Linked DNA regions of Tribolium castaneum. The protein of the gene in region 1 purifies or fractionates together with the protein of each later gene. This does not show direct contact. Links are inferred from orthologs where the notes say so. Each region holds a gene or a part of one and is shown on either strand. Other genes may lie near its edges.

What was found.
Region 2: the proteins of Stoml2 (region 1) and Phb1 purify together in Homo sapiens (affinity purification with western blotting; 3 studies listed by BioGRID, with this or other methods). This does not show direct contact. The link is inferred for Tribolium castaneum from reciprocal best matches to the Homo sapiens genes STOML2 and PHB1.

Annotation. Positions count from the first base shown.
Region 1 is NC_087396.1:12,753,103-12,769,738, forward strand, and holds Stoml2 (stomatin-like protein 2, mitochondrial), read left to right. Parts: upstream 1-6,648; 5' UTR 6,649-6,745; coding exon 6,746-6,790; intron 6,791-6,840; coding exon 6,841-6,951; intron 6,952-7,000; coding exon 7,001-7,397; intron 7,398-7,450; coding exon 7,451-7,851; intron 7,852-8,707; coding exon 8,708-8,881; 3' UTR 8,882-8,951; downstream 8,952-16,636. Other genes in the region: uncharacterized protein LOC103312132, read right to left, coding at 1,977-3,173; maspardin, read left to right, coding at 3,565-3,663, 3,716-3,956, 4,001-4,230, 4,399-4,647, 4,693-4,761; coiled-coil domain-containing protein 112, read right to left, coding at 4,886-4,916, 4,961-5,212, 5,259-5,461, 5,511-5,731, 5,779-5,926, 5,978-6,207, 6,263-6,363, 6,412-6,557; kra (protein krasavietz), read left to right, coding at 10,311-10,371, 10,425-10,601, 10,647-10,807, 12,871-13,413, 13,466-13,792; asparagine synthetase domain-containing protein CG17486, read left to right, coding at 14,225-14,461, 14,511-15,698, 15,738-15,979, 16,026-16,206. UniProt on the Homo sapiens protein: Mitochondrial protein that probably regulates the biogenesis and the activity of mitochondria.
Region 2 is NC_087398.1:10,069,451-10,085,091, forward strand, and holds Phb1 (prohibitin 1), read left to right. Parts: upstream 1-6,913; 5' UTR 6,914-7,047; intron 7,048-7,199; 5' UTR 7,200-7,205; coding exon 7,206-7,296; intron 7,297-7,351; coding exon 7,352-8,091; 3' UTR 8,092-8,217; downstream 8,218-15,641. Other genes in the region: slv (sugar transporter SWEET1), read left to right, coding at 4,601-4,904; protein lifeguard 3, read right to left, coding at 34-90, 137-351, 398-631; uncharacterized protein LOC103312960, read right to left, coding at 918-1,094, 1,146-1,301, 1,349-1,477, 1,526-1,616, 1,663-1,719, 1,768-1,973, 2,018-2,095; uncharacterized protein LOC103312918, read right to left, coding at 3,469-3,621, 3,667-3,822, 3,872-4,003, 4,050-4,140, 4,186-4,242, 4,295-4,319, 4,373-4,439; mannose-P-dolichol utilization defect 1 protein homolog, read left to right, coding at 5,010-5,109, 5,157-5,791; uncharacterized protein LOC663453, read right to left, coding at 11,508-11,782, 11,835-11,942, 11,990-12,059.

The DNA.
Region 1 (16,636 bases):
ACGAAAAAAGATCTACGCGACTCAAATTAACAAGAACTTAATAATTATTAAAATATAATAAATCGGCTCGCTTGTAACAATTTGTATTAAATAGAAAACATTCGAATATAGTAGTTAATACAACGTAAATAAAAGGCAAATAGATACATTTTTTCTTGATTTTTTAACAAACAAAAGTAAACTTATCAAGAAAAAATAAATTTATAAACAAATATCAAAATTTTTGGATAAAAAGTTAATTTTTAACTAACTCTTTTACTAATAAGGAATTAATTCTGTATTAATTTAGTCACAAGTGATGCATGCCCTCAGGTTTCCTATAATAACGTGTCCAAAGAACATTCAAAATCCATAAATAAAAGTCTTTTTGGCAAAACTTTAAGACAAACGTAATTTTTTTTAATGTTTAGACACAAAACAGTAAATAAATAAAATTTGTGGCAATTCAGATGAGATGCTTGCACATTTTTTACTAAAATTGTGAGTTAGGGAAGCACTAAAGAAATGGATCATTCGGATCCAAAAATATCATTCTTCAATGAATTAGCAAATCCATAATGATTGGTTTTCTCCGTAATTTTAATGGCCGACCTCAAACGGACCAATCATATCCAAAAATAAAATTCTTCAATGAATCAAAAAAACTAAAGTGATTGGTTTTCTTCGTAATTTTAATGGCCGACCTCAAACGGCCCAATCAAAATGCTTACAAACTTTACAACAATCACTACGTGCCGTACGTTAATTCATTAATTGATGTGTCTGTCTTTGTTGCATCTCTTTCATAATGTTTCTTTGCGTTCTAACCCCCTAGGCAATGTTGGACGATCTGCTGGATGAAAAACGCCAAAATTGGGATAAGAAGGGAAAGTAAATAAGGAATAATGAATTGAAACTCTTTTATATTAGTCAAAAAGGTTCAAAGAATTCTTCAAATGACCAATGTTGAAAATAAAAGCGCATGCGCGCGTTTATTTTCGATTTGACATTTCTCGTAGATCCAACAAAAACGGACGAAAAGTCGGTGAAATCTGCCCCAGAATATTTAAAAGTGCGAGAGGGGGTCATGGTGTAGGTAAATGTAGTTTTAAAACCTCTTGCTTTTTCTTTTGCAACTGTTTTTAACATTGCCCTATCCAGTTTAGGAGCCCCTTGAAGACCGGACTTCTGGATGCCGTCAGGTCTGACGGGTGATTTTTCCGCCTCTGGCTAAATGGAGGAAAAACCCCAGGAAAAACCAAATGCTGTAATGATGGAACTTACAGTTCCAAACTTTACCTACCTAAATCTTTTAGAGCCTAGATCAAAGTGAAAATATGAATCATTGGTAAAAGTTTTTTACCATGAAACCTGTGCGTGCGGCGTACGTATAATTAAAGAAACAGAAAAAGACTTCTGCACTTCTGTATTTAACTAGTATTTGTACTAGTACTAGTATTTGCAGAAGTGGTTTAATTTCAGTTCAGATAACTGTATAGCTTCTTAAATCTAATCAGTTTGAAAGAATTTGGTAATTTGTTAATCTCGCAACCTTAGTTTTTAGTATTATTTTTTATTAGATTCGAATTCATTTGAACGGGTTAATTAGCGACTTTGAATTTACATGTTTTACTAAATTAATGTAATAATTGTCAACGTTTAAAAGGTTTGAAAAATACCTAACTACCGTTTTTCATTGAAGAACAAATCGGTGGTCGAGGACAGATAACAAAATGGTTTCGGATAACTGCAGAAACTGGGAATAAATAAAACCAAAACATCTTCATTTTCCAAATTTATTTCTTGTATATTACAGAGTCGTTACATAAATTTACACATAATAAAAATAAATACACGTGTAGTAATTTATCAAAATTGTGTAAACGGAAATAACTTGTTTACAAGCCTAATATCCATAAATGCATTTAAATGTATAATTCGAAGCAAAAATATCGGCATTCCTCATAAGATGTTTATTGCTTCCACTTGCTCTCTTTTTAAATTTGATTGTGCAAAAGGAGTTGGAAAAGCGTGGACCGAGTGAGATCAGTGGAAAACTTCAAAATGGACTTGTCTTTGCGCGTTTTGGAAGGTTCAAACGAACATCTCACGTACTTGTGTATGGAGGCAAACCCCTTATCGACGGCATAAGTGGAAATATCCTCCTTCCTTTGATTGTTCTTGTAAATATAGCGAACTATTACGTTATAATTGTAGTCATCTGAAACGTCCGTATTTACCATTGAAATCGGTTTTGCCGTATCGGTGTTCTCAATACAGAATTTTTGCACGGGCAGACTGATCCGGCCCGACTCGCTGTCGGTATTTTTCAAAAAAGTATTAAAACTGTAGCTGTGCAAAGGTACAATGTACTCGTTTAACTCCAAAGTGACGGCGTACGAAGTCTGCCCGAACGTCCGCAAGAGACAATCATTTTCGACGACTGACCGCGTGACCAGACTGTCCCCTTTCGGGAAATTCCACGGCAAGAACGCGGCTTGCAAACCGAGCCTTGTCGAGAGATTCGTGATAATTTTAACCAACCGATGCGGAACATCCCTGTTATAAAAAATAAACGAGTCGATTCCGATCAATTTATGATAGCTTATGAACTCCACAAGCCGCCGCTTGCTGTAAATCGACGGCGAGACGCAAATCGTCGTGTTAATATTCACCTGATGATTGAACGAATTCGTCAACATGATTTTCTTCAACTCGCTATCTTTGCGCGTCTTGAAACTGAACGAGACCGCATATGGCACATGTTCACTGTTGCTCATCTCACAAATGTAGAAATACAAATTCAGTCGGACGTTCTCGTCACTCATCACTTTGGAAAACTTGAATTTCCCAATAACTGGCTTCTTCTTGTCCTCAAACCAGAAGTAGCAGTTCCGAGGCACCAGTTTCTCATCGCTGAGCAAAGTCAATGCCTTGGCTTCGTTCTGCCGGGTGAGAAATGCGGAGTAAATGTAGCCACTTTCGTGCTCCTGCCAGACGGGCGGCGGGCCCCAGTCGTGGTGGCTCAGTATGTTTTCGGTCTGCTGCAGGTCGGAGATGTTGCACGGTTGCCCGAAAAAGTTAAACACTTCTAATACATAATGCAGGCGGTTGTACTCGTGCCGGTAAATCAGGAACAAACTCAGACTAACAATGGAAATAATTAATAACATCAACTGGTGGTACTTTTTCATTCTTTAGCTCAGTTCGTTTGACATTGTGCGATTTTGAGGTTAACATAAACATATGAGTTTGACGTTTCGTGGATGAACGCAGGACGTAATCGCGAAGCCCGATAGTAAATAATTGTTTTTCCGGGCTTATCTGTTAATTTGGTTACGGAAGTGAATAAAAATCTTGTTACTGGGAAGAGTTTGGTTATCGCTCAGTTTTTTATAATTATATTTACGAAATTAACGAAGTGATTTATTTCCTTTGTGTAGTTTGTTTTTGCCACCTTCTGGCCCCCCAGTGAGGCCAATGTGGACGACATTTTATTTTTGATAAGAAATTATTTGTGGAAATTTGTGCGTATTTTGAATAAATGACTCCAAGTAAAACGGTTCTTTCCCCACAAGACTGAAAATGAGTTACATTAGTGATTTGTCCCAATCTCAAGAATATCTAAGTTTTCGAAGTAGTGTTCCATTGAAACGAGTAGTAGTCGATACAGATAACACAAAGGTTTTTTTAATAAAATAATCTGTTGTTACTTTGCCCTCTTTGGCCTCTTCAGGGATGGAGAATATATGACTGTGGCCCCAAGAAGGTAAAGTGCCCGCTAATTTGTCTTCCTCCGGTGTCCGGGACCGCCGATATTTTTTTTAAACAAGCTCTTGCCTTATCAGCTAAGGGGATTAGGGTGATTTCGGCTGAAGCGCCGGTCTACTGGAACGTGAAGGAATGGTGTGAAGGCTTTAGGAAACTTCTTGATTATTTGGAAGTTGTTAAGGTCCACATTTTTGGGGCTTCCTTGGGTAGGACTTGAGAAGTGACTGCGGTTTGCTGACGAGTGTTACAGGCGGCTACTTAGCTCAAAAATTTGCTGAATACACAGTAAAATGTCCAAGAGTTGCGTCTCTGATCTTGTGCAATACATTCACTGACACTGCCATTTTCAATAACCACGAGTCTGCGGCTATTTTCTGGATGTTGCCAGGCCTTGTGTTGAAACGTATGATAATGAGCAATTTCGGGTCAGCAAAGGTTGATCCAGAAATGGTCGAGGCCATTGACTTTATGGTTGAGAGGGTAAATCTAACGAGAGTCTAAATAAAACATGGTCAAGAGAGCTAATACTGACTTTAATCAATGTTATTTAACGTAAATAACAGGGTGTCTAAGACATCGTAAAATTTTTAGAGCTCTCTTGATCACGTTTTTTTAAACTCGCGATATAATTCTAATGGTCAATTTCAGTTGGAAAGCCTTCCTCAAACTGAACTTGCCAGTAGACTTACACTTAATTGCCTTAAAGGATATGTAGAAGCTCACAAATTGGCCGATCTTCCCATTACTGTCATAGACGTATTTGATGAATATGCCTTATCAAATGCCGTACGAGAAGAGCTCTATAAATGTTACCCTAATGCTAAGTTGGCTCATCTTAAGACTGGAGGGAATTTCCCATACTTAAGTCGCTGCTCCGAAGTTAATTTGCATTTACAGGTGATAAAAAAATAAATGAGAAAAGTATTAAAGGTGAAATTGTAGATACATTTGCGACAGTTTGACGATTCCGACTTATCGTCATCAGACCGACCCTTAATTAATCGATGCTGAGTGTTTGCCATTTATATTTTTGTACATATGGATTTTATATTATAACATTTTGTTTAAAAAATACCAAAAATGTAACAAGGACACCAAATTCTACTTAAGAATAAAACACTATTTTGTACAAGCTTTAGGTGTTTTTTCGCCAGTCGGGTATTCCCCTAAAACACGGTTATCACAGGAAACTGCAAAAGCACGCACTTACAATTTCGGTACATGTTTGATGTTTGGAACGTAAGCGGAAGTATTTTCTTCCAGAAAATTATTTTTTGAAGTGCGTACTAGCCACTGTTTGGTAGGTTTTAAGAGCCTTTCGGGATCTCTTGGCACAGAATAACTCGATTTGCTTCTGACCGGTATTTGCGTTTTTTTGGTGCATTTGCTGGATCGCATTCTTCCGATGTAAATATCGTCTTGCGATTGGAACTGTTTGATTCTTTTATTGGCTTCAAAAGCCCTATAATTTTTTTGTTAATTAGTTAAATGATGGAGGTACTGCAAACCTTATTTTTCTTTCTTGCTCATCTAGTACTTCTTGCAGAATTTTTTCGTTAAATTCCTTAACAAGTTTCTCTTCTTTCCATTTGGTCACTGTCTCTTTCGTTTGATAATGAAGGCGCTTTTTGTCCATTTCGAGACGCTTAATTTTTTCTTTTCGTATTTCTTCCATAAATTTTTCTTGTTGACGTTTTAATTCCTTCTCGGCCTTGAAAAGAAAACAGTAATTGTATATTAAACACTTAGGAAAATGTCACTTTCCACTGAGCGATTTTCTTTTGAACGTCTTCGTCATCACATTTTCGAAATATTTTATTTTTGGTTTTATTTTCACACATTTGTTCATCGTTATTATGTTGTGGTACATTTTCGGTTTTCAGCTTGCGCCACTTATCAAGCGCTTCGTCTTTTTTTCTCTTTAAAAATAAATATTTAGTGAACCAGGCTTCATGCTCTCTAACAGCGGTAGGAGTGATGTCTTTAAACAGGCATTATTTAATGTTTTTAACCGATTAGGAAAAGTACCAGGTAACAGTCGGTGCAAATTTAGGGCCAAATCATCAACGGTCTTGTATTTATTTCGAAGCTTTAGGAAAAGTTGGTGATCCTCACTTGCCCACCCATTTTCATGCCCATTGCTTTTGTTAACGAAATCCATAAATTCCTTTACTTCCTATTAACATTTTATTTATTTTCAAACGAAACGTAATAGTAAAAAACTTACTTTATAGTCACTATCAAATTTTAATGACTTGTTGTAGGTTTTGCAGTTGTGGAGTTTGGAAATATTTACACTTTTTTCCCACTCTGGTATTTTACTGTTGAACGTTTCTGTAATTTCTGATAAACCCACTTCTTGCTCTTTTAATGTTTCATAATTGGCTGCGACTTTAATTTTCAATTTATAAATCTTATCCTGGAGACCGATCATTCTCTTTTTAAAAGAACGAATATCTGTAATTAGTTAATTACGGAATAGATTAAACTTGAAAAAATTGTTAGATCGGACCTAGTAATTCCAAATTTCCTTCCTTCAATAGTTTTTTCTCGGCACTCAACAAGCACCAAATTTCTTTTACCTGACTTGCGAGTTGTTCATTTTCATTTTTTCTGCAAAATTAATCACAAAAAGTGTCATTTTAATTATCAGTACTCAACCTTTCGAGTTCGAGAGACGAAAAAAACTCTCCCAAATCCACCCCACAGTCATATTTCGCGAAATTGTTCAACACTTTATTACTTTTTTCCAAATATTCTTGGCAGTTTTTCAACTTATTCAGTTCTGCCAAAAATCCCGAACCCATCTTATTTGTTTGTATCGTAAAACTTGGATACTCAAAATAACAAACACCCTGTATCGGAATTTTGAATTTATACTGGTACAGTAGGAATCGTTTTTACCGATAGCGCGGAACGTCAAATTTTTTCCAAGACCCGGCTTTTGAAGGTTATGGTACATTTGTAATCCTTGAAAATTAAAAAAAATTAAGCAATGTTTTCGAGACAACTGATAAATACATGTAGAACAATATTAAGGGTGAGTGGGGCGGCATTTTTTTGTATCAATTGCAAATTCTTGATTTGTAGCAGCCATCAACTGTTGATTTGATTCAAAACCACACAATTCGTTCTGTAACAGTACGGCACAGGTCTTACACTCCAATTAACACAATTATCATGTTCGTGCCCCAACAGGAAGTATGTTAATACAGAAACTGGGTTAAAATTTCATTTTTCATAAATTCAGGCTTGGGTGGTGGAGAGGATGGGAAAATTTCACAGGATACTCGAGCCCGGCTTAAACGTGTTAATCCCAGTTGTAGATAGGGTAAAGTATGTTCAAAGTTTGAAGGAAATAGCGGTCGATATTCCCAAACAAAGTGCCATCACCTCAGACAACGTTACTCTAAACATTGATGGTGTCTTATATTTACGAATAGTGGACGCTTACTTAGCAAGTTACGGTGTTGAAGACCCCGAATTTGCCATAACCCAGCTAGCCCAAACCACAATGCGCTCAGAACTGGGCAAAATATCCCTAGATAAAGTTTTCCGCGAGAGGGAAAATCTTAACGTATCCATAGTTGACTCAATAAACAAGGCGAGTGAAGCCTGGGGCATGACCTGTCTACGTTACGAAATTCGTGAGTGTTTGTTTTACTAAGCTAGTTTTCGCCCTTCACAAATTTTCTCAAAGGTGACATTAAATTGCCTCCAAGGGTGCAAGAAGCGATGCAGATGCAAGTGGAAGCAGAACGGAAAAAACGCGCCGCTATTCTGGAATCTGAGGGTATTCGCGAGGCCGATATCAACGTGGCTGAAGGCAAACGAAAATCTAGAATTCTAGCTTCTGAGGCCGAGAGACAGGAACAAATCAACAAAGCTGCCGGTGAGGCAGCTGCCATTTTGGCCGTGGCTGAGGCACGCGCTGGGGGACTTAAACTAGTGGCTGAGGCTCTTAAGAAAGATTTGGGGCCGAATGCAGCCTCCTTGAGCATAGCAGAGCAGTATGTGACAGCGTTTGATAAGTTGGCAAAGACGAATAATACGCTTATTTTGCCCTCAAATGTTGGGGATGTTTCGAGTCTGGTGGCGCAGGTAGGTGTGGACTCAAACCAGGGGGCACATCGTTGAATGCTTTGGGCTCCCAATTGTTCTAAATTCATTTAAATTTAAATTTTTGTTACTTGCTTGAAAAAATTCAGGAATGTTATTAGAGTAACAGATTCAAGAGATAGAAAACGTAAGAAAAATATGAAAAACTACATCTTTTTCAACTCTATTTTACAAAAAGTAAATCATATTTTAGAAAATATTAATTGTATTTAAAATTTCAGAAATTGGTAATTTTTATTGTAATTCAAGTTAGCGAAATGTACTTGAAATGTAAAATTTTGAATACCTTGTGTTAAAAAAAATTTTTCGTTACACTAAATTAAATCTGATCGTTTCTGTAACAATACAGTTAAAAAAACATGGAATATACTGTACATTAGTCTTCTTGAAATACAACTTCCAACTTCTAAATTAAAATGTTCCTAGATCCAATATTTTAAGCTGAAGTTCTATTAACTTTTTCTAATCTAAATTAAGTAATGTTTTCTATACTGAATCACAGTTGACAATAGGATGTAAAATGTTAGTTCTGTAGAATCCTAAATATTTACCTGTTTTCCCGAAAATAAACAACCGAAAAAGACAAAATTCTTCAAAAAGCACAAATTTTTATGCACCCCAAAAGTACACAAATATCTATAAACCACCAAAAATTTGATACACGAAAAAACTGTTAAAAATCACCTAATATCATGCAAAATTACCTTAAAAACAACAAAAACTATTACACAGTGTTTTGTTTTTAAACGCAGCAATATAATAATAATAATAATAATAATTATTATTATTATTATTATTATTATTAAGATGTTGGTTTTCCTTATTACTTCTGTTTTAGGCAATGTCAATTTACTCAACGATCTCAAAATCGCAAGGCAATGAAAATGTGAAAAAAATCGATGACTGTATGAATTCTTCGCAAAATGATCTGGCAGAACTGTTCAGCGATGAAGAGGAAAGAAAAAAGCACAAAGATAACAAAAATCAGCCGTCGCTTCCTTTATTTAAATAGGTGTATTTTTTGTTTATTTACATATTCATTACTGTAGAGGACAAGACAAATTAAATTATTTTATAACTGATACGGTGTTTTAATTATCCACATCATTCTACAAAAGATAACAGACAAGAATGAATTTTTATCAGAAAATTCAGGTCTATTCCCAAAAAGTTCAAAAGTAATTTCAGAGTCCTATTGTCTCAGAATTATCAGTGAATTTAAAGAAGTAATAATTGTAACTAACTAAGATAAGAGTAATTAATTAACTGTCTGTGAAAAACAAATCAGTTTTATTTTAGATAAAATGCTCAATTTTTTATTCAAAAAATTCAAATGCGCTGTTGCAAAATTCTGCTATGAACTGAAATTAGATATCAACACATATTTAGCAACTGCTATTTCTGGAAAATGTAATAAAGTTTACTTAAGATAAGATTAGAATTTCTTTGTTGATTTTACTAGTTTATTCAACATCACAATCTAGTTTGGCAAAATATCAATTTATTGCCGATATGCCTCAAGACTAATAAATTTAAAATTATCGTCTTCTGAAGTTAAACACAAATAAGACAATAATTAGAAAGTTGCGAAAAGCCCGCCATTCCAGTGCGAGAAGAAGTCGGATGTCGATTTCCGGTTCAGAAAGGCGCTCGTGTTCATGCGACTCCCTAGCAATTCTAGAAAGTGGCATTTTTTTGTTTCTATAAGCGTCACAGTAGGGTTTTAGCAACAATTAGCCTTTCGATAAGAATAAAAATCAAAAAAGTGCAACCAGCCCCAATCCAGAGCCGTTCGAAACAGTGGACTTTTGAAATTCCCGCGCTCGCTGTCCGTATTGATTCCGGTTCGACCATTACGTTTTATTTCTAGTCCGCAGTCGCACAGTTTTTGACGAGCCAGTCTTGAAAATTCTTGTGAGCTCGTGTGAGGTGATTTTTTTAAAACCGTAAAAATGTAAGTTTTTTCGAGTAAAGTAACGCTAGATAGGAATGCGACAACGGGCGCTGTCAGATATTCACTCGTGGGCTATTTTTGGACGGCCGGAGTCTGACATTTGTTGCATTTTCGCCATTTGGCTGTCTTGTAATGGTGGACCATGCCTTCTGCGATATGCGAAACGGGCGCGTTGTGCAACATTATTTTCCAAAAAGGCGCAATTTAGCGAAGTTTTGCCGTTTTGGGCACGAACACGCTGCCCATTTCGCGTGAAAGTCGCACAAGGGCGAATTTGCGACTTTGCCATTTTCCGTGTAGAAATTCGTGAGTCGTTGACCCGATTCCATGTTTATTTGTGCCGTTAATTCAAGCAAAAATCCTTTCTTTGCGCTTTTTCCCACCGCTGGCACTTCTTGTGACATTCCATATCTTATCGACTTCTTTTTGCACGAACTCAAAGTCGAGCGGAAATTCAATCGCACTCCTCTTTTACAGAAATTTTTGTATGAGTCAAAAAGTAGAAAAACCAGTTCTATCCGGTCAACGCATCAAGACCAGAAAAAGAGGTAAAGCTCCAAAAAGCGCAATGCGCCCCCTTCACGAATTTCCCTTCTTTCAGATGAAAAGGAAAGGTACGATCCAGTAGGGTTTAGGGATGCAATAATCTCTGGACTCGATCAATGCAACAACAATTTTGAAGCAATTTCGCGTTTTTTGGACGGTGCAGGCAATAAACAAGATTATCGTCGATATGGAGAAAGTCTCTTTGACATACTCATCGCGGGGGGCATCCTTGGTAAAGACTCACACTTTTTTGCAAATTTTTACTCATTTCAAGCAGTACCGGGAGGTACGCTCTTGCAGGAAGGGGAGGCGCCGTTCAAGACCTCCGCTTGCATCTTCAACTCGCCTGACGAAATAAACCTGGAGACTATGAAAAGCTGGGAACAGGTTTTCATTAAACTAATGCGTCGCTATAAATATTTGGAGAAGATTTTCCAAGTACGTATTGCTTTCTTTAACACTTTAATTAGCCAAAAAAATGGAGAAAGGAAGTCAACTTCCAGTTCTATTCATTATTTAGAGATTTTGGTTAAATGGTGTGTGACAAAGCATTCACCTTTCAAAGGCCAAAAAATTGTAATGTCTTGCACTTTCTCAAATAAACAATACCATTGCCAGCATTTCAAAATGCGATTACAATATGAAGATAATCATTGGGAAATTAGTTTCTTTTTTATTGTATTGTAACACAGCGATGAATAAATAAATCACGTGCAAATAAATTAGAGAATAAGGACAAGTTTATGGGAGCATTCTAACTGTAAATATGTCACAAGGCCAAGAAACTGATAAACATTTTTCTGTCTTTTGAGGGAGCATGAAGTGGTTCTATTTCAGCTGTTTAAATTTTAATTAAAAAGTGCGAGGTCAAGCGTTTTTAGATCCTGAATCAGCCGAAGAAATCAAATGTCAATGACAACCAGAAGGAAGTTTTTGTGTAGTATAATGTTAGGTTTTACCACAGGAAGCGGGAAGTGACGTTTTAATTGGCTTCGTGCTGCTAAATTGATAATTTTAAGAATTCATCGATTTTGCTGATCATTTGAAGTAACTGTTATTCTCCTGATCGTTCCGTTATAACTATACAGTTTGTCGTGCAATTTATTAGTCATTTTTGCCACAAATACTTACTGTTTTAGTACAAGCATGGATTAATTTTTAATCTCTTTTTACATATTTTTATTGCTATAGTTAATAAATTTTGGAAAAACAACAAGTCATTTTTAATTTCAGCAAAGCTAAAATATTATTTTCTTGAGTATTCATTTTTGCAATGTTATGAAATTAGTTCATTATTTTGATTTTGTTGCCATGAATAAATGAAAAGCTTGTTTAACGTGGTGTTTATTCGACAAAATGACTCATGTTTATAAAGTGATTAATACAACTTGTAAAAACAAGTTTCTAAATATTATTTAGTAAGAGGTACAATGTAATAAAGTACGTGGTCAAATTATAAGTTTCGAATTTTTATTTATAACTGATGCGGACGTAATTTTGCGTTAAAAATGCTTTTATCAATAGTTTTATCATTAAATGTTTCATTGAAATCGTATTATGATAGATTAGGATGAAGTTATGATGTAATACATGAAATACCTTTGATAAGTAATTATCGTAAATGTTTGTAGAGATACTGCTATTAATTAAAAACTAAACAGCTTGTTTTTCATTTTTTGCATTAATCTTGTAGACTAAAATAAAACAATGTGTTATTTAGACATAGAACCATGTAATTATCTGTTGTTATTTAAGACGGGTGATTATATGTTATAAGGAAAGACTACGTAACTACGACCACAGATCTTATAACTTTCAGTAGGTGAGCTAAAAGTATTCGGAATTTCTGAAATGACGTTTCAGAAAAATACTGGTTTCTTATGTTCTTAACGTTGATTGCAATTCAAAAAAATATGAAGGCAATAAAAATAAATACGAAAACTATGATTTCCTTTTCCTATTTATAATACGTTTTGGCTAATATTATCCGAACAAATCGATCGTTGTTGTTTTGTTTTTTATAATTGTCTTATAAAATTTTATTTTAAACTTACTATTTTTCATGCACCGAAAATATTTTCCATGAGCTCAATGTATTTTGAGAAATATGTCGGGATTGATAATAACAAAGATGATGAAGAGATTATTAAATTACTAACTGAAAACAGGTGAAAACGTGTGTTTTTAAACGTAATTACAGTGAATTTGATAGTTCATATATTTTATTATAGAGTAGAGCCCAAAAAAATCAAAATAAATCAACTTTATCCGAACTTTTACTACCTTTTGAGATATAGAACCTCCACTTCAGCGTCTAAAAATTTGTCAACTAGATTACGTGTTTTGACGTAATAGACGGTGATTTGAGTAATTAAAATTGGGTGGTATCTTTGCCAAAAAAATCGATGCAAATTTTTTCTTTTTGCTAATTTTAACCCTAATGTAATAGATTTTTTCTTTTCTCTTTTTGCTTTATTCAGTGCGCAATTGCGTTGTTGCAGGATGAAATAAAGAAAGTGTTGATGTTTGTGAAATACTTCACTCCAGCCGAACGTAAAAAACTGTCTGTGATGGTATATCTGTGGATCTCGAATGGCAGCATTCCGTTCAGTGCTGTCCTGGTGTTGAGTAATTCGCACTTGGTCAAGGACCATTTGGCATTGGATTTCCTGATCGATGTGTTCAAGTATTGGCGCCAGGACAAGGGTGTAAATTCCCTATATTCAGCCATAAAGAAATCCAACATCGAATCGCATCTGATGAGTTTCGTTCCCGATACGAAACAATCTCAGGTGTACTTCCGTAACGCCTTCCAGGAGAACGGACTGGAAGAAATACTCAAGTTGTACAACGACCAGCATCAACAGCTAGCCAAGAAGGAGCTGCAAGTTATGCTGGCCGATAGCCTTTCCGAAAATAAGCCCCAACGCGACATTATCGCCGAGTTGCGCGAATTTGCGGCGAAAGAGAATATACAGGAGCACGAAACGGTCTGCATCATCTGGACCACTCTTATGGACATTCCCGAGTGGTCCAAGAAAGAAGTAAGACTTTACCAACGAAAATGTTTACACGCTTTGACTTTTTTAATTGTAGGAACTAGTTACCGACCAAGCTGTCCGTCACTTGAAACTCTACACTAGTTTGTTCTCTGCGTTCACTCAGTCGGCTCGCTCCGAGCTAAATCTCCTCTTAAAAGTGCAGGAGTACTGCTATTCAAACATGACTTTTATGAGGGCTTTCCAGAAGATCATTATGCTCTTTTACAAGACGGATGTTATCTCCGAACAGGTTATTCTTAAATGGTATAAGCAGGACTACAGCGTTAAGGGCAAGATGATGTTTGTTGATCAGATGAAGCAATTTGTTGAGTGGCTTCAAAACGCTGAGGAAGAAAGTGATTCTGAAGGCAGCACTGAGTAGGTAGGTTACCCTTGACACCACCAAAACCAGACAAATATCACTATTTGTGTTAAAAAATTCTAACACAAGTTGTCTTGTCTGGGAAATTGACAACATTAGTACTGGCATTTAGTGGCTTCCAAAACTAAATGTTATCGAAAAATGTAACACAATATTTTCGGGAAAGTAGCGTTTCTTATTGTATTTTTTGTTACAGATAACACAACCTTCATTGCATCAGTGCCACCAATTATCAACTAAAAATACCATTTTTTCCAATGTAATTATATCATTGTATAAACATTTCTGGTGCCTTACTATGTTGGTGTGCGGCAGGCAATAGTGACCGGGGATTTGTATTACTGTACTGACCTCTTCAAATTATTCATATTAAAGTATTACTGCATCGGAAAAAATGTTATTTGTATCAATATCGCCAATATTGTCGACTCAATGTTATATATAAATGATTTATTGTCAATTTTTTTAATATACAAACAAATTTTACACGCCTCATTTCTCAAAACCCCATTCGGACGAATGCACGGTCGTTACCGTTTCGAACCGAGTTACATTCGCACGAAAAGTTGTTACAAGAACGTCAAAACCTTAACCTCAAAGTTTGAAATGTGTGGAATATTTTGTTTATTATCATTCGACAAAAGCAATACTGAAACATTACATTACAAGGTCTGTTTCTGATTTTTTTTGCATTTAAATCGAAAACATTTGGTTTTAGTTTGAATTGTTCAAAGAACAAATTTCGCGAAGGGGCCCCAACTCGTTGAAAACCGACTTTTGCCAGCTGAATAATTGCAATATCCTGTTCGCCTCGAGCGTTTTGTGGCTTCAAGGTACCGATATTACGACACAACCGTGCAAAAATGATAATTCTGTCTTTATTTACAATGGGGATATTTTCGGGGGTTCCCAAATCGGTCAACAATTAAATAGTGGTTCAGGCGATACGAACCTATTTTTCGACGCTTTGCAAAATTCGGACGATATTTTAATGACGCTAGACAACATTGAGGGGCCTTACGCGTTCGTGTACTTAAACGTGGTACAAAATAAAGTTTACATTGGGCGTGATATTTTCGGCAGACGTAGTTTACTAATCGGTAGAAATGCAAACGAATTTGTAATAACAAGTGTTGCAAAAAGGGGGACAGAGTTTGAGTTTATGGAACTGCCAAGCATCGGCATATTTTCTATTGATCTTGATACAAAACAGTGGAAAATTTTACCGTGGCGTCGGAAAAACAAAAATTTCGTTGAGAAATTAAGCGAATTTGAGTTATTTATCAATCAGACTGTGCTAAAACAGGCTGATGTATTTGACCGAAAGAAAACGTTCGTTCCTCCTAGCGAGGCCCAGCTGAAACTATTGACTGGGTTTTTGGATTTACAAACTTGTGATTTGTTTAATTTTTTATTTAATTCTCCATTCATGAACAATATTTTACGACTGAAGGAACTTCTCCAAAATAGCATAAAAAAACGTATTTTAGCCCAACCGAAATTTTGCCAAAACTGTTACAAAAAATACGATTGTGATCACGCTATTACTGGAATTTTGTTTTCGGGGGGTGTGGATTGTGCCGTTTTGGCCCTTCTTGCGAGTACAGTAATCGACCCTTTGCGTCCTATTGATTTAATGAACGTAGCGTTTGAAAAAGGGGGCTGTTACGACACCCCTGATCGCATTACGGGCCTTAGCACCCTCAGAGAGTTGCAACAATTGTGTCCTGACCGGAAATGGAACTTCGTCGAAGTTAATGTAACGCGCGAGGAGTTAGATAAGTGTAGACGCGACCGAATTTCCGATTTAATTTTTCCGTTAAATTCGATTCTGGATGATAGTTTAGGCTGTGCATTGTGGTTTGCTAGTCGTGGAGTAACCCAGGATTACACAACGCCGTGTAGGGTAAAAACTGAAGTTTTCCATTTGTCACACCAAATTCAGACTTTGTTGGTAGGGATGGGGGCCGATGAGCTATTTGGGGGGTACACAAGACACAGAGCTGCGTTTCAGAAAAAGGGTTGGGAGGGTTTGAGTGAGATTTTGGACGAGGATTGGCAAAATTTGCCTTATAGAAACTTGGCTAGGGATGACAGAGTGGTGTCAGATCATGGGAGACAACTCCGAACGCCGTATTTGGACGAGGAAGTTGTGAAATTTGTACACAGTTTACACACTTGGGACAAGTAACTGGGAATTCGGAGTGGGATGTTTACCGTTTCGTAATTGTAGGACTTTTCCATCAATTAAATTGCAAGGAATTGGTGAAAAACTTCTTCTTAGAAGTCTTGCGTATCATTTGGGGCTTACAAAGGCCGCCCTTTTGAAGAAAAGGGCTCTACAGTTCGGGTCAAGGATTGCGAACTCGAAAGAAAAGGGACACGAAATTTCGCAGCATTTAACCGCTACATAAAAAAAATTGTAAACTTTGTAAGACTTGAAAACGATGTGAAATAAAAGTCTCATATGCCATTTGTATTTCTTTTTAAATCGAAATCATCCAAACGATAACATAAATCGTTGTTTCCGACTAGAACAGGCCGTTTTTTGCCAGTTCTCAAAAATTTAAAAGGATTTAAATTAAATTTTCTAAAACTATTTCTTTCTCTCGTTAAGCTCTCCTAAACCTAGAACATTTGTGAATGTTTAATAGCATAAAGATGTGGGTAATTATAATTGTGAATTCAACAAGGATTAAAACACAAAAGGGCTTTAAATATATGCAATATATTTAATGAGGTACATTTATATAAATCAGATGACATTTATATAAATGGGCCAAAAAGTGTCCCTTATCATCGACAACTTCAATTGTTTAAAATATCAATATAATTAAATGCCGA
Region 2 (15,641 bases), on another chromosome or scaffold:
GTTGCCAACCTAATTTCAAAGAGTTCTCCGTACATGCCCGCAATCATAATAGGCAGTCCGTTGCGTATCAGAAACAGCTTCGTATTCTTCCTAAAATCAAATCAAATTAGACTTAACTTTTTACACTCAAACGTACTCATAGGTGGCTAGAAATGCAAAGGCAAAAGTGAACGCCAACTGCGCCGACAAAATTGTGTACACCCTCTGTACAAACCGATTTCGGATCTTTACGGTATCGAAGGCGTCAGTAAAAATCTCCCCACTTCCGCCGAAAAAATTGAAACCTAAATCGGACTGGCGCTGTCTTACGGGCGGTGCTTGGGCCACATTCATCGGAGGGGGATAGCCACCCTTAAATTTGAATTATTTTTTTCGCAATTTTGTACCACTCACCTACGTAATAGGGGTCTTGGTACATTCTTTGCTGGTAGGCGGGGGTTTGGCGTTGGGCATAGCTTGGGTCGGGGTAGTAGTAAGCTTGGGGTTGATACGGTTGGTAAGGGGGTTGATTGGAGTAGGGGGGCGGTTGTTGGTAAGGTATCACCAGCACTTCCGGCCCGCTCTGGGACTCTGATTGTTGGAGGGCTGTCGGGGGCTCACCTTTAGCTTTTTCGGGGTTGTTGTCACCCATTTTGGACACATTGTGGTTTCAAGATTCCCTAAAATGACATTTTTCTGACATTTTTTTCAAAAAATTTGCCATCGTACTAGTGATGGCATCTAAGCATTCAGGCGAGTTTTTGTGCCAAAAGTCATCAAACACAAGGCGATTTTTTTCATTTTTGCTTGAATCGCAGTCATTGGCAAATTTGGAATTTAAGTTGGCAACCTTGGTTGTGAAATTCAAACTCAACACTTTTTTTAAGACATTTATTTCCATACAATTCAAATACACTTTGACTTAAAATACATTCAGTTTACGACGTTTCTGCAACTGGTTCCTCTGGTGGTTTTCTATCCCTAATCAATATTGTTACCGCTTTCACTACGTACGGAGTTGTTACGCTCATGTACATTACGATTGCTCCGAAAACAAAGTCGGAGGTATTTAATATTTGTTCTTTTAAAATTTTTTTCATAAGAAATATCATAAACTAGAAGATAAATGATTATTTGCTTCGTAATGTTATTGAACTTGGACTTACCGTAACACACAAAATGGTTAAAATCGTTGATGCGACTATAAAATCCCAGCGAAATAGATCTTTACATAGGAAATACAGGCAAAATGCCACAACTCCACACACCACAAGAGTAAGAATCAAAATAAAGCCACACATATTCAGACTCATAATCTCCCACTGCCAAGATGAGTTATTACGATTTTTCAAAAATAAAAATACTTAACTCTCTTCTGTGAAGCAATCAACGAAATCATAAAACAAACCACAGTAAGACATCCGAAGTGATTCGCCAAAACCATGGTAAATTTAAATTTACTAGCAAGCGCCCCAAATTGAAGAATCACAGAAACTGTCTAAAACTCAAAAAATATTACCCCAAAAAACCTTGCCCAACATTTTACAATGACAAAAAGGCAAATTAAATTCATCGGCTTTTGCCGAATCCAAGTCGAGCAGCAGACCATAAACGACGTAATCACGATCACAAACGCCCTAAAACTCCAATTAGTTTCACAAAAAATGGGCAAACACCACCTACGTGAAAATAACCAGCAACAGGATCCAATTCTCGACCATACTGTTCATAACCCCCTCTCTGTAAAACCGAATTTAGTGCTGAATTCAGCCGAAAAGACCCACTTGCTTGTAAACCATTACGAAGTAAAACACAAACGAGAAAAGCATCTGCAGGGCTACAATCACAAAAACGTGCTGAACGAACCAGTTACGGTTTCGCAAGTTCCGGAAGGATAAAGCAAAGAGTCGCGTCACTACGCTTTGGTCCCCGGCGAACGAATCCTCTGCGTAGTAGCTACTGACGGTGCCCCCGAGGGCCCTCCAGGGGGTGCCCTGCAACAAAAGGGTGGGCTAAGGCCGCTTCTGCGCTTTCTTACCGTTTGGGAGCGGGCTTCCCCCATTTGGGCTATGCTGGCCACTTGGGGCTGGTTCAGGTTGCCGACGTAGCGGGGCATGATGAGAGAAATGGACCTTTGGGCACTAAATGTCAAACGTCACTCAGTATTTTTATATTTCAGTTTTTTATCGAAAATTTTCTTAAAAGTGAACAAAATCACTCTAGAGTCATTTTTTGACGAAATTGTGCTTAAAAACAAGCTACCGAGGAAGCTCTTAAGTGCCCGTAGTAATATTTTAATTAATTAATTAATAATTCAATTAATAATTAAATTAATAATAGTATTTAATAAGTTTAATAATTTTCGATTTTTTCGGTGAAATTGTGTTCATACAGAGTGACCCAGGGGTGCGTAATAGGTTTATAACTTTTTTGTTACTTGAAATATCGTTACGCCGTTTTCGTTATTCGATAGATCGACTTAAAGTCCACAAAACAAAAATATTTGTATTATACACAGTGTGTTGTATACCGGGTGGTGAACCAAAGTTATATTTTTTTAAATGGAACACCTATATTTTTTTGCATAGTTATATTCTACGCAAAAAAATAAAATTTAATAAAAATAAAATTTATATAAACTATTACGAGTCTATCTCTTTTCGTTTCCGAATTATTCAATTTTTGGTTATAAAAAAGACCAATTTTTAAAAAATCACTACGAAGTCACCTATGAATATTTTTCGACAAATTTGCAACAACAAAACCTAGAGTCATTTTAGCAGTAGTCAACTTTTACTCGATTCACGAAGGTAATGTACAGGGTGTGCCAAAACGCAAAAAGTTGAATAGCTTATTTTTTTTCACATGCAAATTAAAAATATTTCTTAAAGTGTTTTTTTTTTCGTTTTTTTATTTATTTTATTATTAATTCTTGATGAGTAAAATTCATTTATGTATCAAGTAATAATTAAATTACTAATGTAATTAGTCACATTAGTACATATCAAAAAATAAATTATCATTTGAATTTATCAGATTCTAGGACAACAAATTTTCTTATAATATAATATATATTTTTTTTTAATTTTCGAAAAGTGTTTCAAATTTGCTATGCAAAGTCTATACCATTTGAAATCTTATGCAAAATGCTATCGACACGTGTAAAAAATACACGGTGTTGTTTGAAAAAAACGATTTATTCAACTTATTTTTGCGGTTTGGCACACACTGTACAGTAAGAGTCCACTATTTGCTAAAACTGCATGGTATTCTGAGTTTTTCTGTGGCAAATTTGTCGGAAAATATTTATTGGCGACTTCGTAGTGATTTAATTTTTTTTTTATAACGAAAAGTTTTAAAATAATTACAAGTTATAGACCGAATTTTGCATGTTTTTCTGTTTAAAATCATTTAATTTCCATCTAATTTGTCCATTTTCTGAATCAATTTCTCAAAGGAAGCACGTTTTTTGAAATAAAACGACGAATATCATAGTTTTCGACAATATTTAATAAACTTGATTATGGACATGGGGAAAAGGGGTAGGTAGGCGATCTGTGTTAAAGCTCCGTAAACGTATTCTTGGCAGCAAAGGCGCTCTTTTTCACAGACTGCAATTTGCCGAGTGACATAGAGAAGCCACTAAAAGACATCATCATTTCTGATCACTTTGCAACCTTCGGTTACCAGAATTAATATCTGCATTATCGCCGAAGTTATAAACATGAACCAAAGATCACATTCTTTAAAATGAGTAAAATTCAAGGCTATTGTAACAAATCCGGTTATAACCGACATATAGAGGAACGTGAAAATGTGCATACAAACATTAGTGACTTCCCACTGAAATTAAATAAAAAGTATATCATAATTTAGTTGCTGCTACTTGTACTTTCTTCTGGCAAGACATTAGTGAAAGCGTGATAAGGACCACAACTGCGAGAGCTGTGCCGTAAATAGAGGACCATAGGATCCCAGTACATGAAACCGCGAATGAAACTAGAGTCGTTCCTACAGAAAATGTCTGAAAAAGATGAAAAAACTTATTTTACAGTCGAAATGATACTTACGAATAGGAGGAAAAGGATACAATTAACTGGGAAATAACGTCTCAGTTTGGCACTACAAACCAGTATCACCTCAAGACCCAAATAATTCATTCTAAAACGGTAATAAAATGCCGGATTTCGATCCGACAATACTCACAAAAAAATTATAATTAAAATAGTCCTGTTTTTGTAAACAAATGACCGAACTGGTGGTCTGAAAAAAGTGATTGCAATTTTTATGATACTTAATACCTATAGGTACGTACAGAAATCGCATCAGCAGGAGAAGCGCTAAAATGATCAAAAAATGACAAATCAAAATTGCAAAAGTTCCCCGAACAAACTTATTTTTATTTCTGATACATTCAAACGCTGGAATTTCGTCTCTGTTGATTGAAATGAGCCCATCATCCCGATTCACAGTCTGGACGGAGGCGGTTGGAGTGGCTGCTGTATCGACCGAAAAAGACTAAAAGACACAATTACACACTTTATGTACCCGCATTTCAACAATTAGCTACCGCAAATGTGTGCAAAGCCGATTCTCGCGGAAAATAAACATGATGTTTTAGGGGTTTCGGCTGGGGAGCAGGTGCCGCCTGGAAGAAAAACCTTGATTCGGAATCCGCATCCCAAACCTTACGTCTGCTTTTTGGCGAAATGTATATTTCAGTAACTGAGTCTTCGTTTGATGGGGGGACACTCATCTTGACGTTTGAATTTTCGCGCTACTGTCACCAAACTATCAATTCCTACGTTATGAATTTTGTGCGTTATGGATTTGTCATTAATTTGAAATTAAGTCAAAGTCATAAATTAAGTGGCTTTTTATCAAACACAGTAGCAAACGATGAGAACGACGTTTATTTAATTTAAATATCTCAGTTCTTATCGCCTCAAATCACAGATAATAACACTAGTGGCGTGACATAACCTCACCACGGTCCTTGACGTGTCATCATTTTAAAGAAGACACAAAAAATGGGCTCACAACCGCTCGAATTCATTCGACAAGTCCTTTTATTGGTTTTTACGCCCCACTGTTACGATAATTATTTCATTCATTTGAATTTTTTCGATGGTGAGTACAAAAAGTGAGGTTATAATGCACTTGACTTGTGCTTTCAGGGCCGTGTTTTTCTTCAACTTTGAGCAAATGCCTAGGTCTAGGCATAATTATGGGCTCACTTTTGGTAAAACTGCCCCAAATCATCAAAATTTACAAGAATAAAAGCGGGGAGGGCATCAGTTTGCTCAGTGTTACTTTGGACTTGACTGCAATAACGATTTACGCATCTTATAGTTTCCTCAAACAGTTCCCGTTCAGTGCGTGGGGCGATGCCGCCTTTCTTGCGATACAGACAGTCCTTGTTGGGGTTTTGGTGCTCCATTATGGGGGTTCTAGCTCAAAAGCACTTCTATATTTAGTTGCTTATTTGTTAGTCAATTTCATTCTAATGAGTGGCTTGACCCCTATCAGTGTCTTATGGACATTGCAAGGTTTTAACATTTTCATTGTTGTTAGCGGGAAGTTGACACAAGCTTATAGTAATTACAAAAATGGAACTACAGGTCAATTGTCAGCGGCTACTTTGATTATGTTATTTATGGGGTCTCTAGCCAGGATTTTCACCTCGATTCAGGAGACGGGGGACAAGATGGTCATTCTGACCTATATTGCTAGCACTCTTGCCAATGGGGTGCTGGTAGCGCAGTTGCTCTATTACTGGAACGTAACACCACAAAAAGAAAAGGCTCACTAGGGATTTAGGGATTAAAAAAATGTGCATAAGTTTCAATTTTTAGTGTAAAATATCACCAGTTGATGAGACTGTTAAATTCGTGTACAAATGTTGCAGTTTATCATTCCCTGTTAACGTGTAAGTCTTTGATTATTAAACGACTGTTTGGGAAAAATAAAAATGGTAATTAAACAGAAGTGGGTAGTTTTATTTAGCAGAACCCGTAGCTCTCAGAATTCTCAACTGTAATTCTCTTTATTCTTTACTAAGCGTCATTCAGATAAACTTATAAAACAGATAAAAAGGTAAAATAGACTTTTTATCGTAATTTGTTTACAAAATTTAATTTTTTGTTTGTGGTTGGAAATTTAAACTGTTGATTCTGACGTAAAAATTTAGATATCAAGTCGAGTTTCCATTTCAGTGTGAAAATAAGTGGTTATTTGTTGAATTAAATAATCCTCTAGAGCTTGGGCTAGCAATATTGGCTTGCAATATTGGTTGCATAACTACATTTTTTTTAATTTGCAAAAAATACTCAATTTAAAAATAAAGTGGTTGCGTGGCGGAGTGAATTTTTACACGGGCCAAATAATGAGTTAAATCTTGATGAAATAATGCCAACTTTTTTGAGAAAAAGTGTTATAGAGATTAAAAAAAAATTACGTTTTTTATGAAAATTAATTACTTTATTGAAAAAAATACCACCCTAGTGGATTAAATAATGTCGTTCTTCACATGTTACAGAGTCGAGAGTTTAAAAAAAAATAAAATACAGTTTTTATTACGTTTTAAAAATTCAACTAACTTTTTCAAACAATAAATCAATTCTTATAGCAATTAAAGAAACATAAATATGTGGTGTTGTACTTATGATTTGCTACAATTTAATTAATTATAAAAACTATTTTTGATATTATTTTTAAAAAATGGAATAAACATTTCAAAATGTGGTTATTTTCATTAGCAATGTTGGTATCAGAGGGCATCTGAAGAAACCATTGTTTTCTTACAATGACGGCAAAAGATTAAATATTTGAAGTTTCTGATGCTTTTTTCAATCTTTATTAATGTTAAGAATCGATATTTACGTGGTTTTAGTAATGTAATTCAAAGTTTACGAATAAAAAAATTCAAAATGTAGTTATTTTCTTCCACAAAGTTGGTGTAAAGTCACCAATTACGCTGTCAAATGTCAAATCCAATTCTTCCATTTTGTTCAAAGAGCAACTCGTGAGTTTGCCGGCTGATTTATTACATTTTGCAGTTAATTACAGGTAATTTATCATATTTAATGTATTAGCCAACGTTGTGTTTTCATATTGATTACGTTTTTTATACCAAACGTGGCTTTTTATGCGTAATGAGCCAAACTGATCCGACATAACCTTACATCCTGCACACATTACATTCAGTCCTTTTTTTCAAGTAAACAATGTCTGCGGCGCAATTATTCAACAGGATTGGACAGTTTGGCCTTGGAGTAGCTCTGGTAGGCGGCGTGGTCAATTCGGCGTTATACAATGGTAAAAATTAGCAAAAAATTGTGTTTGTGTTGGTGCTCAATTAATTAATTGATAGTCGATGGTGGTCACCGTGCCGTGATCTTCGACCGTTTCTCCGGCATCAAGAAGCAAGTGATTGGCGAAGGCACCCACTTCTTCATCCCCTGGGTGCAACGCCCCATCATCTTCGACGTGCGGTCGCGCCCCCGCAACGTCCCGGTCATCACCGGCAGCAAGGACTTGCAGAACGTCAACATCACCCTCCGTATCCTGTTCCGCCCCGTCCCCGACCAACTCCCGCGCATTTACACCGTCCTGGGGCAGGACTACGAAGAGCGCGTCCTCCCTTCCATCACCACCGAGGTGCTCAAGGCCGTGGTGGCGCAGTTCGACGCCGGGGAGCTCATCACACAGCGTGACCTCGTCTCGCAGAAGGTCAGCGAGGACCTCACGGAGAGGGCGTCGCAGTTTGGGGTCATCCTGGACGATATTTCCATCACGCATTTGACGTTTGGACGGGAGTTTACTCTTGCGGTGGAGCTGAAGCAGGTGGCGCAGCAGGAGGCGGAGAAGGCCAGGTTTTTGGTGGAGAAGGCGGAGCAGAATAAGAAGGCGGCGGTGATTTCGGCAGAAGGGGATGCTCAGGCGGCTACGTTGCTGGCGAAGGCGTTTGGGGATGCCGGAGAGGGGTTGGTGGAGTTGAGGAGGATTGAGGCTGCGGAGGATATCGCGTATCAATTGTCGAGGTCGAGGCAAGTGTCGTATTTGCCAGGGGGGCAAAATCTGTTGCTCAATGTGCCTACGCCCTCGAATTAAGGGCTTAAAGGGGGAGAGAGTCGGGTGTTTTGTTTGACTCGGGACTAGGAGTGAACTAGGATATGTACCAATTTTATTTTACTTATTTAAGGCCATACTGTTACTGTTAATAAATTTTATAAAATATTTTCGTGTTTTTTTTACCTGTTTTCTCAGAGGCGGATTAAGTATCCGCCCCGAATCTGGATATACTTTGGGCCTCTTTGTCGAAAACTATCAGTATTTATGGCTAATAAAAAATAATTGGCGATTATTTTTTATGTGGGGGTCTCTCGTTCACTCAATTTTTCGATCGCAATTAGGTCTACCTCTGTGGAGGTGTAATTTTAAAGATTTTCTTATCGGCTTAAAAAACAACAATCTACTTGTTGGTTGTTTTAAAATTTGAAAAATCCTCTTAAATTGTGTTTTCTAGAAATTCTCACTTTGAGTCAAACTTTCTCTACTTTCATTACAGATTGTAGGTAACCAATCACAATTCTAAAACGATCAAAATGCCGAAAAAAAGTTCTTTTTTACATGATACCAATTTTTACTTACAAATTTTCGATCAGCTTTAATATAATAATAAAAAAAAATTCCGACTTGTCGCACGCCGACAATGTGGACACTATTATTGGAAAAAACACAAGCACCGTTTTTGAAACAACACCATTTACCTAAGCCATGACCCCCTTTCGCATCACTTTTGAATATTCTGGGGCAGTTTCCACCAACTTTTCGTCTTTCTTGTTAGATTTTCCAGAAATGTCATTTGGAAAACTGAAGAGCGCGCGCATGCGCAACATGGATCATTTCGAGAATTCGTCAATTGAAACTTTTTAACTGATATTACAACTCATAGCAAATATAAAAGAGCTTCAATATAATATTCCTTATTTATTTCCTCCCATTATCCCAATTTTTGCATTTTCATCTAGTAGATCGTCCAAGATTACCTCTGAGGGTGAATTCATGAAAGACTGAAGATGTGACAGGCAACAAAGACAGACTCATGTTTTATGAATTAACGTAAGCCACGTAAAGATTGTTGTAAAATTTGTAAGCATTTTGATTGGACGGTTTGGGGTCGGCCATTAAAATTACGGAGAAAACCAATCACTTTAGATTTTTGGATTCATTGAAAAATTATATTTTCGGATATGATTGGTACATTTATGGTCGGCCATTATAATAACGTTAGCAACCAATCACTTTGAATTTTTGGACTCATTCAATAATTTTATTGAATGGCTATTGTAAACATTAAAATCAGGCAATAAATAAACCTTGTTTTTTAAACGACCTTACTTGGTGCCCTAGTAAAAATTTTATTGAAAAAAACTGGCAGTAGCTCATCTGAATATCCACAGATTTTGTTTATTTATTGTTTTGTACCTAAACATTTCGGTAAAAAATTTACGTGTATGTTGAAGGTTTCCTAAAAGACTTTATGGATTTTGAATCCACTAGTGTTATCCACATTTCTTCTTTAAACGCCTTATTAGGAACCTCAGGTTCCTCAGCACATACGTAGGTATATCACTGCCTTAATTGTGTCTAAATACAGAATTAAATCCTTTCTAAAAGAGAAATGACTGCACGTATAAGAACAGTGGTGTAATAAGTACACAAAAAATTAGCTTCACGCAAAAAAATAATGAAAGGAGGAGATTATATGGAAAAAATAAAGCATACTGTTCCTGTAATTTATTGTATTGTAATTTATAAAGTTAAACCTACTTCTACATTCTTTTCTTTTCTTTGTTAAAAGCATATTGCAACTACCAGACCTACCCTTTATGTGATTGATTTCTGTCTTCTGCCACATTCAGGAATATTTTGCATTTTCGTCCCTTTCTTGCTAAAAATTGCGACTATGTTAAACAATCCTGTAGATGTTACCTACTCGTACATTTTGCGTCTAAATTTCAACGGTGGTGTTTTAATGATCTCTACTTTGACTACTATTTTCAAATTTACAAAACTGTTATCGGTAGGTTTTTATCCCTGTATCTGTGGTTTCATCTATAGAAAATTTCTTTTGCTGTAATGTTTAATGACATTTTTTTCAAATAAATAAAAAACAGAGACTGCTTTCTTCTTTTATTAAAACTAGTACGAGTGAATGCTAGTGGTGACAACTTTAAAATTATTTGACACTGTTCATTTAAAAAAAATAGTTTTGCACGTGGCTGATTAATTTTTTCAGCCGTTCGAAGTAGTTAAAACATACTTGTTTTTTAGCGACTCTATTAAGTAATTAATTCTAATTATAGGGAATTGTAGAAAAATTTTGAAAAAATTCACATGCATAGAAAAAATTTAATAATTATAATTAGGTACGGTTATTTAACAGTAAACGTTAAAATCACACTGAGACTTGAAAATAGCTAAAGGTTAACAATTATCTCACCCTCTTCAATTTTTTAAAAAATTGAGAGGTGAAACCTTATTTTGCGATGTTTTAATAATAAGGATATTACAGTTTAACTAATTCGAGAATAATATATAAAAACAAAACCAACCGAAGGTCCTTGAATTCGTTCCACACACAGTTTCAATTAAAAACAAATATGGTTTACGCTCACGACTCAAGAAAAAAGTACCGGAAGTGAGCGTTCAGTTTACATGAAAATACCTTTCCCTTCTAAACCCCATCCACCAGGATCTGTCAATAGTCCAATCGAGCCCGATAACAAACAGCCTTACATAACTCTCGAAACTAATGAGAATTTAAGACAAAAGTAGTTTTGTGATGGGTATCGCAGTGATGCGACACTATTTTTAATTACAACATCCCCAGGACGTCGATATCCAGCCGAGTGGCGGTAAAGCAGCCGCCTTCATCAAAGTCAAGTCCATCGACACCTTCCTTCTAACGTTATTTATTACATGCTGGCATGCATGCCTTAAAACTAAAGTCAAATGCGTCGATTAATCAGAAATGATTTATCTCTCCTACAGCCTGTTTTGCAATCATTAGTGAGGGAGGAAGAAATAAACCAAGCCAATTTTTTTTCCCAAATTTTATTTGTCCCAAATGCTGAACCTCCAGGAAAGCCTTGAACCAGTTGACATTGAATCTGAAAAAAAAAACAGTGTTACATAACATTGCAATTAATCACACAAACAGTTTTAATTAAGTCGTAAAACGTTCGGTTTTGCACATTATTTATCCCAAAACTTCACTGGAGACAACAATTTAAAAGTAATAAGTCATCGCTGAAAGTGATTTATTTTAAGAACAGGATACAGTTGGGCCGGACCATCTGATTAAAATAAAAAACGCATCAATCGATTTTAATTAACTACTGTTTAATTGGGGTTTTAATTGATTAATTAAGCAGTTGATGAAAGTAATAATTAATAATAGGTCGACAAGAATAAAAAATCACTAATTTGTTATTTATTTATTTAGTAACCAAAATCACAATTTAAGCCTTCTTTAGCTCAATATCAAGTTTGAAACACTCAATAATTTCATCGTTGCTGTCCTTATCCCGAAGCGAAAATTCCAAATTTAGGCTGACTTCTGGAAAAACGGGCAAAATGTACATTCCGTAGGTGTATTCAACTTGTTCACCCTCTTCTATGGGACACTTTGTGTTGGTAATTCCAACACAAGCATCATCCTGATCCAGCGGATACGTCACATTTATGCCCATAAGAGAAGCAACAGCGTTTGGAGCAAAATGTTCCAACTTACGGGCTATGAAAATTATTTAAAAAATTATGAAATGAAATAAGAATATACTACATACGAGATTTGAATTTCATAATCATGCTGGTGTTAGAATTGATGTAGAAAACACACGGTTCCGCGTCACAATTTTCGACTTGGACATCGTCTGGTAAAGGGCCAGTGGGGCCTATTTTTGTGTAAATAAATTGCAAAAAAAAGAAAAAATTCACTTACATTGACTCACAACCGTGCTGTAGGCACCCCCAAAAAGGAAAATAACGAAGAGAAGAGCAGAGACTGACATTTTGACTCAGATTGTTGGTTTAATCAGTTTCCAACTAGCTTTATATATAGCCGGAAAAATGTTTAAACAGGTGTTCTTATCTACGATAATTTATTATTAGTGAAAACAATCGAATTACTTGTTATGTATGTACTTAGTTTTTTTTTCAAGTGAACTGCTGGTAGGATTTTCAGTTACACCAAAATTTTCTTTTTAATTTTGTCGTCTTGTTCTTTGAGAAAAGTCAATAATAAAATTAATAAGCAAATGTTTGTTTACCTTATCGTTCAAGATCTTGCAGGTGATCATTATCAATTATTTTCCATGAATAAGTTTACGAAATTGTTTTTAACCTCTAGTGGATGAGTAATTGAACATCTGTTTTCTAAACTGGACTACAAAGTCAAATTTTATCACGAATAAGAAGCAAAAAATAAATCTTTTTGTCACCACCTAAATGAAATAAGCCTTGCAATGTTGTGAGACGTTCCGATTTGCATAATAAACGAATCAAAGCAGGGCCAATTTTTCACCTTGTCCCTTTGGTTATTAAAATTAATAATTGCGAAAATATCGAATACGCAAAAATAAGTTATGTGGAATGTCTGTAATTTAAATGCTGGTGACTTATATAAAACGCGCAATTAAATGAAAAAATGCGACTTGTTTTAAAAATGAGCATTAAAACACTCTGCTTTGGAGGATGATACATGAATCCGGCCGAATATTTAATCACTTCTTGGGCCTTGCGCGGAGTTCTCAAATAAAATCAGAATTATTGTTTAATTGTATTTTACAGTTTAAGTGATCTTTAAAAGTTGTTTTTTCCAAAAAGTCCGTAAAAGATATAAAAAAAAAACAAAACATAATTAGTTAAGTAGAAATTCAAAATTCTAATAAACGAAATTTTGGTGGAAACAACAGTTTTATTACAAATTTTTTGCTCAAAGTATCGTTGTTTTAGAATAAATTAAGAAAACATAAATTATCGATCAATTAACATTTTCTTGTTTTTAATTATTGGTAATTTTTAATTAACTAATTTTAATTAAGTATTAGGAAGAGAAAAATTCCTTGCATAGGGAAAATATAAAGTATTTAATAGCAAATGTTGATTTCTGTACGATTATTAGTTTTTGAGATATAATATTAGAAGACATTCGTTTTTTTCACTTTCAAACTTGTTGAGTCTAATACAATGAAACCTTCCTTAATGAACATCTCCGAATAACGGACACTTCGTTTCAACGGACATTTTTATTGGAACGGTACAAAAACTTTGGAAAATAATGTAAAAAACCTCTCTACAACGGACCCTCTGTAGATCGAAAGCGGACAAAAAAATCCCCAATACCATAATATCATTAAAAATACCTCCTACAACGGACAGACCGAAAGAGTGTATGCTAAAAATTTCGAAAAAACTTTATGAAAAGATTGAGACTTGTAAACTCATGCTGTCTGAATATTTTGAACCTGTTCAAAAAATAGCTGAAATTATGTGTCATGTAAGAAATTATTGCAAAAAACACGGCTCCTAAAACAACCAAACAAAAATTGAAAATTTTAAGGAATAACTCTGTTTACATATTTCCTTTTTTAATTTAAATTAAATGAACCTGAACAAAAAATTGGAAAAAATAAATATACGGAGTGCTATACGAAATATATTTATATTTAACGCATAATTAAGTTAATTGTGCGTATGAGTACCTAAAATACTTTTTTGTAAAATATAGGTATTTTTTTCTCCTATTTTATGTTTGAATGTAATTGGTGGTTAGTTTATTGACTGTGCTTTCATAGCCCTATTATAAATAATGCTCCTTTCGATATTTGTGGTGTTATGTTGAGAGTTCAATATACAGATATACAGATTCAATATACCTTCTGTAGTCACTTTGTCGCATTCCGGAGTCACAATTACTCCCACTTGTTTATTTAAAAAAATATACAGGGTTCTGTTTTTATTGTTACAAATTTAAACAAGTGATAGGACATGCAATTTTAAGGCAAAAGTTTTCTATAAACATGTATCGAAAAATATTTCGTAAGGGAGCTACACTCCCTTAAAAGGGTGCTTCTTTTATTAGGTTTTCCTCGTTATCTTACCTCCATGGTTTTCTTGAATAATTTAGGGTAAAAAAGACTCTAACTATTTTGGTATTAGTTTTTTGACACTTTCAGCAAAAAAATCCATACTTTTTTCTGTGTATTAAAATTGCCCACCTCTCTAGAACGGACAATTAAAAATTTCCCATCGGTGTTCGTTGTTGAGAGGTTTTACTGTATATTTTTTTATTTGTCGGTGCACATGTTTTGCATTCGTTACGTCTTTCTGTGCAAATTTCTAAAATCAACTTTTTATATTTTGCTGGATACTTTTGGCCTCCCGTTATGATATATTATATATATATTTCAAAAGCTGCGGAGGTCTGTCGGTCAGTCGCCTCCGGGTTGACGTCCCGAAGAGCAACACCAGTTGATATCGCGTGTTGGAAGCAGCAAGATCCTAAAAGGAAACCTCCCTTGGCCATTTAATATTATTACTTTTGGAGCACAGCAGACACACATCAGCCTCCTAATTCCAATATTCGACCGATAATTGGGGGCCTTCGAACCCTTACCAGCGCTTACTATTATTGTTATTTAGCCGTCGTGACATGCTTTCTCGCAAAACTGAATTTTCAAGAATCGTTCAAATTGACGTCTTTGCGTAGAGTATCGAATGACATATGGTTTTAGTTTTAAGATGCGAATTTCGCGAGCTCTAATAATAGTCATTGCACCTTCGGACCGGGAATCGGCAAAACGTGATGTACAAAAATGCTAATTGTGGCAGAAACGAGAAAACTAGCAAGAGCCAACTTTTGCTTTAAATCTTGTCGGGCTTCCTTCGCCCCCAAAAATCCAATTAATATAGCTGAAGACAAAGCCTCGCGACGCAATACATCTCGCGACGCGAAAGCCACCTGGCGAATTTTTCATCAATTAATAAAGCCTGCCACTAATTACATTAGCTATTAGCAGCCCCCTTATAATTATCCATTTCACCGCTAGGAGGTGAATCCCCCAAGCGAAGCTTGCGCTTCCGCCAATTCACCCCTTGGCAGCCTCCATCTGGGCGGCTGCTTTTCTAAGTCGGCCGATCTTTTACAGCTCATTTGCATTTTAGAATTGCGGAATCCATCTTAGGTCGGTTTTGTTTTAATGTCAAGACGGGGGTGATTATTCAGGATTTAGGGGCAACCCTTTAGGGCTGGCGCTGACAGATTGTCTTCTGCGTCGTCTTGGGGGGCGCATTTTTTCATACGGGGGCTAATCGAGTTGGTGGTAACCTCTGACACGCGCTCTTAAATTTGAAGAGCGTCGTATTTTATCAGAGGATGGCGAGCTGGTAATAGCTACTTATGTTTTACAGCCGCGAAATACTCGTAAATAAGCGGCGATGACGTGTCCATTAAATTAGGACGCGATTTATGACCCCACGAACTGCATTAGGCAAAAATACCACCGATGCGCCCATGACACGAGGTCATCCGCAACTATTCACTTTTCAAACAAAATTTCACATCTCTTTTTCTGCTTGCCTAACGTCGACTT